Oryctolagus cuniculus: one gene and its partner. The protein of the gene in region 1 interacts with the protein of each later gene in a pairwise test. Links are inferred from orthologs where the notes say so. Each region holds a gene or a part of one and is shown in the gene's direction. Other genes may lie near its edges.

Region 1 (3,790 bases):
CTCACGGAGGTCACTGGCCATGACCCCAGTGCACGGCCACAGGGCTCAGGCCCTGGCAGTGCCTTCCTCCCGCCCAGGCCTGGTGGTCTCCATCACTCCAGGGGCTGCTGTAGAAGCTGCCTGCAGTGCTTTTAGGAGATGAGGTATTGGGAAGGGGTAGCCTCAGATTCCGAGGGCAGTCCTTCCGGGAAGGTTTGCAGAGCTTGGGGGACAAGCTGACGGGAAGGTTGGTCCTCCGGAGCCTGTTGCTGGGCCCTGTGTGCTCTCTGGCTTACTGCCGGCCAGCAGCAGTGGTGCAGAGCCTCTGCCACCTGTTTCGTGTTTGCCCAGGGAGGAGGCCAAGGAGATGTGGGAAAAGAGAGAGGCCGAGTGGGCCCGAGAGCGGAGTGCACGCGACAGGCTCATGAGCGAGGTAAGCCAGCATCTCCTCCAGGCCCGGGGCCCCAGGCAGGTGTCTGGAGTCCACCGTGGAGCACTGATCCCACCGGCGCTGCTGGGGACAGTCTCTTCCAGTTATCTTACGTGGGCTTGGAAACTCTTGTTGAAAGAACTTGCAGGCCAGCACCGCGGCTCACTAGGCACCGGCGCCCCGGGTTCTTGTCCTGGTCGGGGCACCGGATTCTGTCCCGGTTGCCCCTCTTCCAGGCCAGCTCTCTGCTGTGGCCCGGGAGTGCAGTGGAGGATGGCCCAAGTGCTTGGGCCCTGCACCCGCGTGGGAGACCAGGAGGAAGCACCTGGCTCCTGCCTTCGGATCAGCGCGGTGCACTGGCCGCAGCAGCCGTGGGAGGGTGAACCAACGGCAAAGGAAGACCTTTCTCTCTGTCTCTCTCACTGTCCACTCTGCCTATCAAAAAAAAAAAAAAAAGAACGAACTTGCAGAAAGTAAAACTGACAGCACCCGAGCCTTGTCTTCGGCATAGCCACTGGCATCTTTCTTTCAACTCCTGCTTCCGTGTGTGCCGGTGCCTATTATACTGTGCCGTTCGAGGCGAGCGTTTCCACGTACTGCTCTGTGTGTAAATGCCGTGTCACGGCCAGATTGTTACCACGCGTCCTCTTGAGGGCCTCCCAGCGTGCCTTTCCATCGCTGTCTGGTGCGTTCTAGTTTGTTCTCATTCTGAGCCACTGTAAGCAATGCTGCCCGGAGTGTTTTGGGCTTTTCCACATTGAGATTTCTCCCTCAGCACGGGGAACCAGCCATGGTCTGGAGAGCACACGTGGAAGACGCCCAGTGGCTGGGTGGTCTGTGTCACCTGTGTGCCGAGAGCTCCGAGTGGCTTAGAGCAGGGAGTCCCGTGTGCCTGGCGGTGGGAACTGGGGTCTCCGTTGGTGATTTCCCACTCTTGTGAATACCAGGTGTCCCCAGTGGCCGCTGATTCTCCTCGCTCCAGCCTGGGTCCTGGTCGTGGCTGCTTTGCAGGTTCCCTCCCGAGAGCGTGACCGTAGGGTGTGTCGGTGGCTTCCCAGGCGCCTCTCTGATCCCCAAGGCCGTCCGAGGCTGGTGCAAGACATCACGCTGCTCTGGGGCCTTGAGTGGGGGATGTCACCCCATGAGCCGAGGCCCCCCCACCCCCTGTGGCCATCTGCGGGGCTTGTGGGCTTCCCCACTGCTAGGGAACGAGTCTCACTCTGCCCGAGTCTGAGTGGGGCCTGGCCGTCCTGTCGGGCTTTAGACCCGAGGCTGAGGGTTAGGTCGCCTGCGGAGCTGCCTGGCCAAGGCTTGTTCTCAAGTCTGCTTCTTCCTTCCTGCCGAGGCCAGGTCCTGGCGGGAAGACAACAGCAAATACAAGAAAAGATTGAACGAAACCGACGGGCGCAAGAGGAATCCTTAAAGCACAGGGAGCAACTCATTCGCAGTCTGGAGGAGGCGAGGGAGTCGGCTCGCCGGGAGCAGGGGCAGAGTGAAGAACAGAAGTCGGCCAGGAAGCAGGAGCTGGAAGCCCAGGTGGGCTGAGCCAGGGCCCTGGGCGGGAGGCAGCCTCTGCAGGGGACGCATCCTTGCCTCGCTGCAGGGCAGGCCTGAGGGCTGGTGCGCTTTCCGCACAGCTCGCTCGTGTTGGAGAGTGCAGTGCGCTGTGGCCCTGGGTACTGCAGCTGAAGCCCTGGCGCACCCCACACAGGGTCCTTCGCCTCTGGTGGGCACGGCTGGCCTGTCTGTCCCCTCCGTCCTGTCCGCACCTGCGGACAGGTGGCTCCTTGGGCCACAGTTCTCCATTTATTCAATTCCACAACCTGAGGTGGAACACGGAATATTCTGCCCAACACACAGCCGTGTGTGGAGCTTTGTATAAGACCCGGACGGCTGCTGGCCAAGCCTTTTCCAGTCCCCAGGGGCCCCTCCCATTTCCTGGCACCTGCCGCCCCTGCTCCTTAGAGCTCTGGTCCTCCAGCCCAGCTGGGCCCGCAGCCTCCCCTGCTGAGCAGGCGCAGGGCTGTGCCCCGGGGCCTTGCCTTGGGGTGACTTTGCTCTTGGGCCTAGGTGGCAGAGCGCCAGCTGCAGGCACGGGAGGCTGACCAGCAGGAGGAGGAGGAGCAGGAGGAGGCCAGGCAGGCAGAGCAGCTGTCGGACGCCTTGCTGCGGCAAGAGGCGAAGATGATGGCCGAGCGTGGCTACCGGCCCAAGGTAGGAGCGCGCCTCCGCGGCGTGTCCACAGCCCCGCTGAGCTGTGCTGTGCTGTGCAGTGCAGCGTCTCGGTTCTGTCTGGGCGCTCCTCTTGTGTTTGCCTCCTCCTGACTAGTAGAGAACCTCGGCGCAGGGTCTGTTTCAGTCCTTCGTTGGGCCTCCAACAGCCTTCACGCTTTTTGGCTCCTGCCACTGCAGCCCAGACTCTGATACCCCGCCGCCAAGCTGCGTGCCTGTCCAGCCTGTCCAGCCTGTCTGGGGGCCAAGAGCAATCTGAGAAGGGCGGTGGCCACAGCTGGGGAGAGGTGACAGCAGGGGCAGGCTCCCGACTGGTGAGACAGGAAAGCTGCCTGGTGCCCCACGGTGCCTTCTCGAGGTCATGAGCTGTGAGGGGAGGAGGCTGGCCCTTCCGGGTCAGGGAGTCCCAAAGCCAAGCAGAACAGAGCGAGCGGGGAGGCCACCGCAGGGAGCTCCCCTGGCCGTGCACAGCGAGTGTCTGGGGACGGGGCTTCCCAGGGCGCGCAGGAGTGTGTCAGGGCTGGTGCTTTACGGAACCACCGCAGGGAGCCTGTTTCCGTGTCGGGCAGAGCTTCCAGCTGGACGTGAAGAGCCGTTCGTGTCGTGCTCTTCGCTCTGACTTGCGGTGCTCTTCCACCGCCCCCATGTCTGCTTCCTTGTTCCTCAGCCTCGCGGACACCCCAGAATTGCCTGGGACTGACGCGGCTGGTGCCAGACGCCCGGAGAGCAACGGTGCTGGAGCCTCGACGCAGAGCCGCCCAGCAGCTGCACCAGGTTCTGTGGGGGCCGGGGCACCGGGGCCCAGGCACGGAGCTGTGGGGACGTGCAGCTCCCAGCCAGAGACCCTTCCCTGCTCTTACTCAAGGGGTCCTGAGCGGGACGTGCCGACAGTGCTGTCGACACCCTCGTGGCGCGCTCGTGAACGGTGTCGGCTGGCCGGCACACAGCGCTGCGAGTTGTGCTCTCCCGCCGCCCGCGCTCAGCGACTCCAGCCTCGTCGCTGTGTCTGTTGGAAGCGGTCTTGCAGCGTTTGGTACAGCTGATTTCAGCGGTCCCCAAAGGATCCAGCCTTTTGTATTCTGGGAGAAAAAACTGCTGTGGTCTAGGGGTGCTTTGTGGAACGGCGTGAGAAATGAGGCCTTCCTGTAG
Region 2 (4,518 bases), on another chromosome or scaffold:
CGTGGACACTGCTGGACGCCCTACAGCCTCAGGCCAGCACCCGTCCTCGGAGGACGGCCAGGCCCCGTCGGCCGAGGTGCCGGGTGCTGCCCTGCCACTCGGGCCGCGGCCACCGTCACACACCCTTCATCCCGAACCCTTCTAAACGTGGAAGCCTCCCCAGCTCACGAGTGGCGGGAAACCAGGGTTCAGGGCAGCTTTGCCCCCGGCCCTGCAGAGCCACACATGGCAGGTGCCCTCACCTGGGCGCCCCCGCTCGCCTCCCCTCCAGGTCCACCCCAAGCCCCGCCGTGAGACCCACGCAGGGGCCCGTCTTCAGGACGCACAGAAAACCCGCGCCTTTCCGGAAAGATTCTCTTTTATTTTTATCGCAGATGTTCCCACTTGGCACCCAACTGGCGTCAGACCAAAGACCGCGGCCGACAGAGCCGGCCACCCCGCTTCCCACCTGCAGGTCTCAATCCTCAGGGCACCGGGCACCTGTTCCTCTCGGCCAACCCCATGGCAGAGCGATGCTCCCAGCTGACAGCGGACGCGGTCTGACGTCCTTCAGGCCCTGCGTGGTGGCCGGGATGGAGAAAGGACATCAGGCAGGAGATCCACCATCTCACACAGCCTGGACAGCACGGTGCGACTGGAGCTCTTGGGTCAGCACAGCCGGGCCAGGAAGTCCCTGAGTCCAGCGGGGCAGCTGCTGTGCAGGCCCCGAGCTAACGGGAGAAGCAATGTCAGCCACGACTTCTGGGCAGCAAAGTGGCCGCTCGGCTGGGCAGGAGCAGGCGCTGTCTCTGGTGCAGCGGGCGGAGGTGGGGCCCCGGCTGGCCCACGCCCCGGGCTCGGGGTCCCGCACCCCCGGCGCGGGGCTGGCCGCCCCACAGGCCCGGGCACGCACCCCCGCCGCGGGGCTAGTTGACCCGACAGGCGCGGATCATGAGCAGCTGCAGCAGGATGAAGACGGGCGACGCGATGAGGCCGAACCACAGCTCCCGGGTCTGCTCCACCAGCTTCTGGCACAGCAGCATCTCAAAGACGAACTTGAGGCTTAGCACCGTGAGCACCCAGAAGAGGCGCAGCACGGCCAGCCGCTTCTCCCCGTCCTGGAAGAGGCGCACGGACACGATGGTGGTGAAGTAGGCGCTCAGCCCGTCGGCGGCGAACAGCGGCACGAACACGTTCCACCAGGACAGGCCGGGCGCCAGGCCGTCGGCGCGCAGCGCCAGCAGCACGGAGAACACCAGCAGGGCCAGCAGGTGCACGAAGCTCTCGAAGGGCGCGAAGCCCAGCCACTGCACCAGCTCCCGCAGCGAGAAGAGCATGGCGCCGGCCGCGCGCGGCCCGGGGCCTCGCCCGCCGCCCCCGCAACCGCCGCGAGCGCGAGGCAGCGAGCGGCCGCGCCGCCGCCGCCGCCGGCCGCCGCCCGGAACCCCGCACCGGCCGCCCGCCGACGCCCGCGGCGCTCGGACGCCATGCCCCGCCGGGCGCGGCCCAAGTGCGTCACTTCCGGTGGGCGGCGGAAAGCGGAAGTCGCCTCGCGGCGGGCGCCGGCGGTGCACCTGGTGGCGGGGACCGCCCCCCGGGGGAGCCGCGATGCCGAGCCCGCAGCTGCTGGTGCTGTTCGGCAGCCAGACGGGCACGGCCCAGGATGTGGCGGAGAGGCTGGGCCGCGAGGCCCGGCGCCGGAGGCTCGGCTGCCGCGTGCAGGCGCTGGACTCCTACGCGGTGGTGAGCGCTCCGGGGGCGCGGGGAGGGGGCCGGGCCGCGGGGGTGCTCGCAGGGGGCGCCCTCGGTGCGGTGTCCCCGCACGAGGTCTTACCTGCGTGTCTTCTCTTGAGGTGAACCTGATCAACGAGCGCCTGGTGGTATTTGTTTGTGCAACTGCAGGCCAGGGAGACCCCCCGGACAACATGAAGGTAAGGCTGGCCCGGGGGCTCCGCCCCGCACTTGGAGAGACACCGGCGGTAGTCAGTGGCTCTCCGCCGGTGCTGTCGGAGAAGCCTCGCCCTCCGTGTTCACCGCTCGCGGACAGGCTGGTCTGGTCTCCTGTGGCTCCCGGGGAAGGGCCTTTAGGTCTCGGTGCAGCCTGGGCACGGGCTGGGGCCGGGGCTCCCGGGAGCAGAAGCAGCGAGCGTGCTGGGCGGTCCAGTCGGCGCCGGAAGTGCCCGCGGCTGGGGAAGGTGCCAGATGCTAGGGGGGCCAGCCGCGGGGTGCGAGCAGAGCCTCTGGTCCTGCAGCGAGCGGGGCGCCAGGCCCGGGAGGAGGGTGCTTGGCGCTGCAGGGAGGGGCGGCAGGAAGCCAGGCCCAGTGCAGAGTGGCCGGGCAGCGGCGGTCAGGCAGGTGGGCCGGAAGCCGTGGGGCGACAGCTGTCAGGTCCAGGCCTTCTGCTCACCCACAGAAGGGGCGGTGGGCACGCAGGGGCTGAGGCGCCCTTGCAGGGCGGTGGTGGGAGGAGCAGAGGGGCAGCGCGGAGGGCCGCTCTGGTCACGGACAAGGAAGGTCGGGGTTCAGGTTTGGGGCTCCTGGGGTGGCCCTGTGAGGGCGGGGGCGGGGGGAGGGGTCCCAGCAGCACAGCCCAGAACCGCTGCTGCGACGGGGAGACGAGGGGAGGGGGCGCGGGAGGCAGCGAGCTCGCCCCCCACCTCGTGAGTGCCTGCTCCGGGCGGCCTCGGGGCCACCTGCCTTCCCTGGACGGGTTCTCGGCACGGTGGCAGAGCAGTCGTGTTGCTCCAGGTGTCCATGTTCGTCTGCCTGCAAGCCAGGCCTGGGCCGGGCTGAACCCGGGAGGCCAGACCTGCAGCTGGGTCTCCGCGTGGGCGTGGGCGTGGGCGTGGGCGGCGGCCAAGCGCGGAGCCGTCAGCACCGCCTGCGGGGCGCGCGGGAAGCCCGGCTCTCACAGCTCCCTGCGGCTTCAGAACTTCTGGAGGTTCCTGTTCCGGAAGCGCCTGCCGCCCACCTCCCTCTGCCAGATGGACTTCGCCGTCCTGGGCCTTGGGGACTCCTCCTACGCCAAGTGAGTCCGAGGCGGGTGGGCGCTGGGCGGGAGGGGCGAGAGCTGCGTCCCGTCCACGCACGCTCTCCGTGGGGCCGGCGCCCCTCCACACGGCTCCGCCGGGGCGGGGGGCTGCCTCCGGTTTTCCTCGGCCTGCCGTAAACAAGCAGCAGTGTCGCTCGGCAGACGTGGAAGACCGCCCGGCGGTCCCAGAAGGGCGGGGTGGCCGTGCCCGCAGGTCAGGCACCCCCGAGTCCCTTCAGTGGGAGGCACAGGCAGTGAGGACCTGGGACCGCTCCACGTGGTGTTGGTGACCGGGGGGGCACTCCCCACAGAGGAAACCGCGCCCGGGAAGACAGGTGGCCCCCGCAAGTCCCGGCTCCCACCTGCGGGCACCCGGATGAGGGCCGTCGGGAACGAGGCTACTTCCCAGCCCCGGAGCTTCCTCGGCTCTGCCAAGCCTGGGCCGGCCGCGCTGTCTCTGCAGGTTCAACTTCGTGGCCAAGAAGCTGTACCGCCGGCTGCTGCAGCTGGGTGGCAGCGCGTTGCTGCCCGCCTGCCTGGGCGATGACCAGCACGAGCTGGGGTGAGAGCAGGGGGCGGTGCCGTGGCGCGGCCAGCAGGGCCCCGCCACGGGCAGGACGCCCTCAGCTCGTGCCCATCCCCCCAGGCCTGATGCCGCCATCGACCCCTGGCTGCAGAGCCTGTGGGAGAAGGTACTGGAGCTGTACCCTGTGCCCGCCGGCCTCGCCGTGATCCCCCCGGGAGTCCCGTGAGTGTGGGCCTCCCCGAGGGGTGGGCGAGGGCCCCGGAAGGCAGCCCAGGCTCTGACGGCCACGCCCTCCCCACAGCCTGCCCTCCAAGTTCACCTTGCAGTTCCTTCAGGAGGGCTCCAGCGTGGGCTCGGAGGAGCCCCGCGAGGCTGGTGCTGACCCTCAGGGGCCGCCCACAGAGCTGCGGCCCTTCCTGGCGCCCATGGTCACCAACCAGAGGGTCACCGGCCCCTCACACTTCCAGGACGTCCGCCTGATAGAGTTTGACATCACGGGCTCTGGCATCAGGTAAGGGGCCTGACACAGCCTCGTCCCCAGACAGGCAGGGCAGCGGGGTGTGGAGGCGTCCCCGGGAGCTTGGGGCTCGGGGTGGGGCAGTGGGCGCAGGGTTCTCGAGCCCCCGCTGGAGCTGGGAGTTGGCAGCTCTGCTGGGGAGGCCTGAACGTGGCCTCCCTCCGCAAGCCCCTCCCCTAACCCCCACCCAGCTTTGCCGCCGGTGACGTGGTGCTGATCCAGCCCTCCAACACCGCCGACCACGTCCAGCGGTTCTGCCAGGTACTGGGCCTGGACCCCAACCAGCGCTTCTGGCTGCGGCCGCAGGAGCCAGGTAAGCCCGGCCGAGCTGCTGCTCCTCCCCGCCCTCCCCACCCGTGTCCGCGGCCGGCCACCCAGGCCTCCTGCTCCCCACGGCAGGTACCCCCGGCCTGGAGGGGCTGCCCCAGCCCTGCTCCGTTGGGCACCTGGTGTCGCGGTACCTGG

Evidence for each region.
Region 2: the proteins of TCHP (region 1) and NDOR1 interact in binary tests that used the Homo sapiens proteins (3 or more experiments, as listed by UniProt). The two-hybrid records come from large-scale screens. The link is inferred for Oryctolagus cuniculus from reciprocal best matches to the Homo sapiens genes TCHP and NDOR1.

Annotation. Positions count from the first base shown.
Region 1 is NC_091452.1:18,803,124-18,806,913, forward strand, and holds part of TCHP (trichoplein keratin filament-binding protein), read left to right. Parts: intron 1-330; coding exon 331-412; intron 413-1,759; coding exon 1,760-1,945; intron 1,946-2,479; coding exon 2,480-2,623; intron 2,624-3,308; coding exon 3,309-3,341; 3' UTR 3,342-3,790. UniProt on the Homo sapiens protein: Tumor suppressor which has the ability to inhibit cell growth and be pro-apoptotic during cell stress. Inhibits cell growth in bladder and prostate cancer cells by a down-regulation of HSPB1 by inhibiting its phosphorylation.
Region 2 is NC_091432.1:237,493,180-237,497,697, forward strand, and holds the start of NDOR1 (NADPH-dependent diflavin oxidoreductase 1), read left to right. Parts: upstream 1-1,466; coding exon 1,467-1,722; intron 1,723-1,832; coding exon of another isoform or gene 1,833-1,881; coding exon 1,882-1,910; intron 1,911-2,879; coding exon 2,880-3,007; intron 3,008-3,473; coding exon 3,474-3,572; intron 3,573-3,656; coding exon 3,657-3,758; intron 3,759-3,837; coding exon 3,838-4,047; intron 4,048-4,244; coding exon 4,245-4,366; intron 4,367-4,452; coding exon 4,453-4,518. Other genes in the region: TMEM203 (transmembrane protein 203), read right to left, coding at 906-1,316. UniProt on the Homo sapiens protein: NADPH-dependent reductase which is a central component of the cytosolic iron-sulfur (Fe-S) protein assembly (CIA) machinery.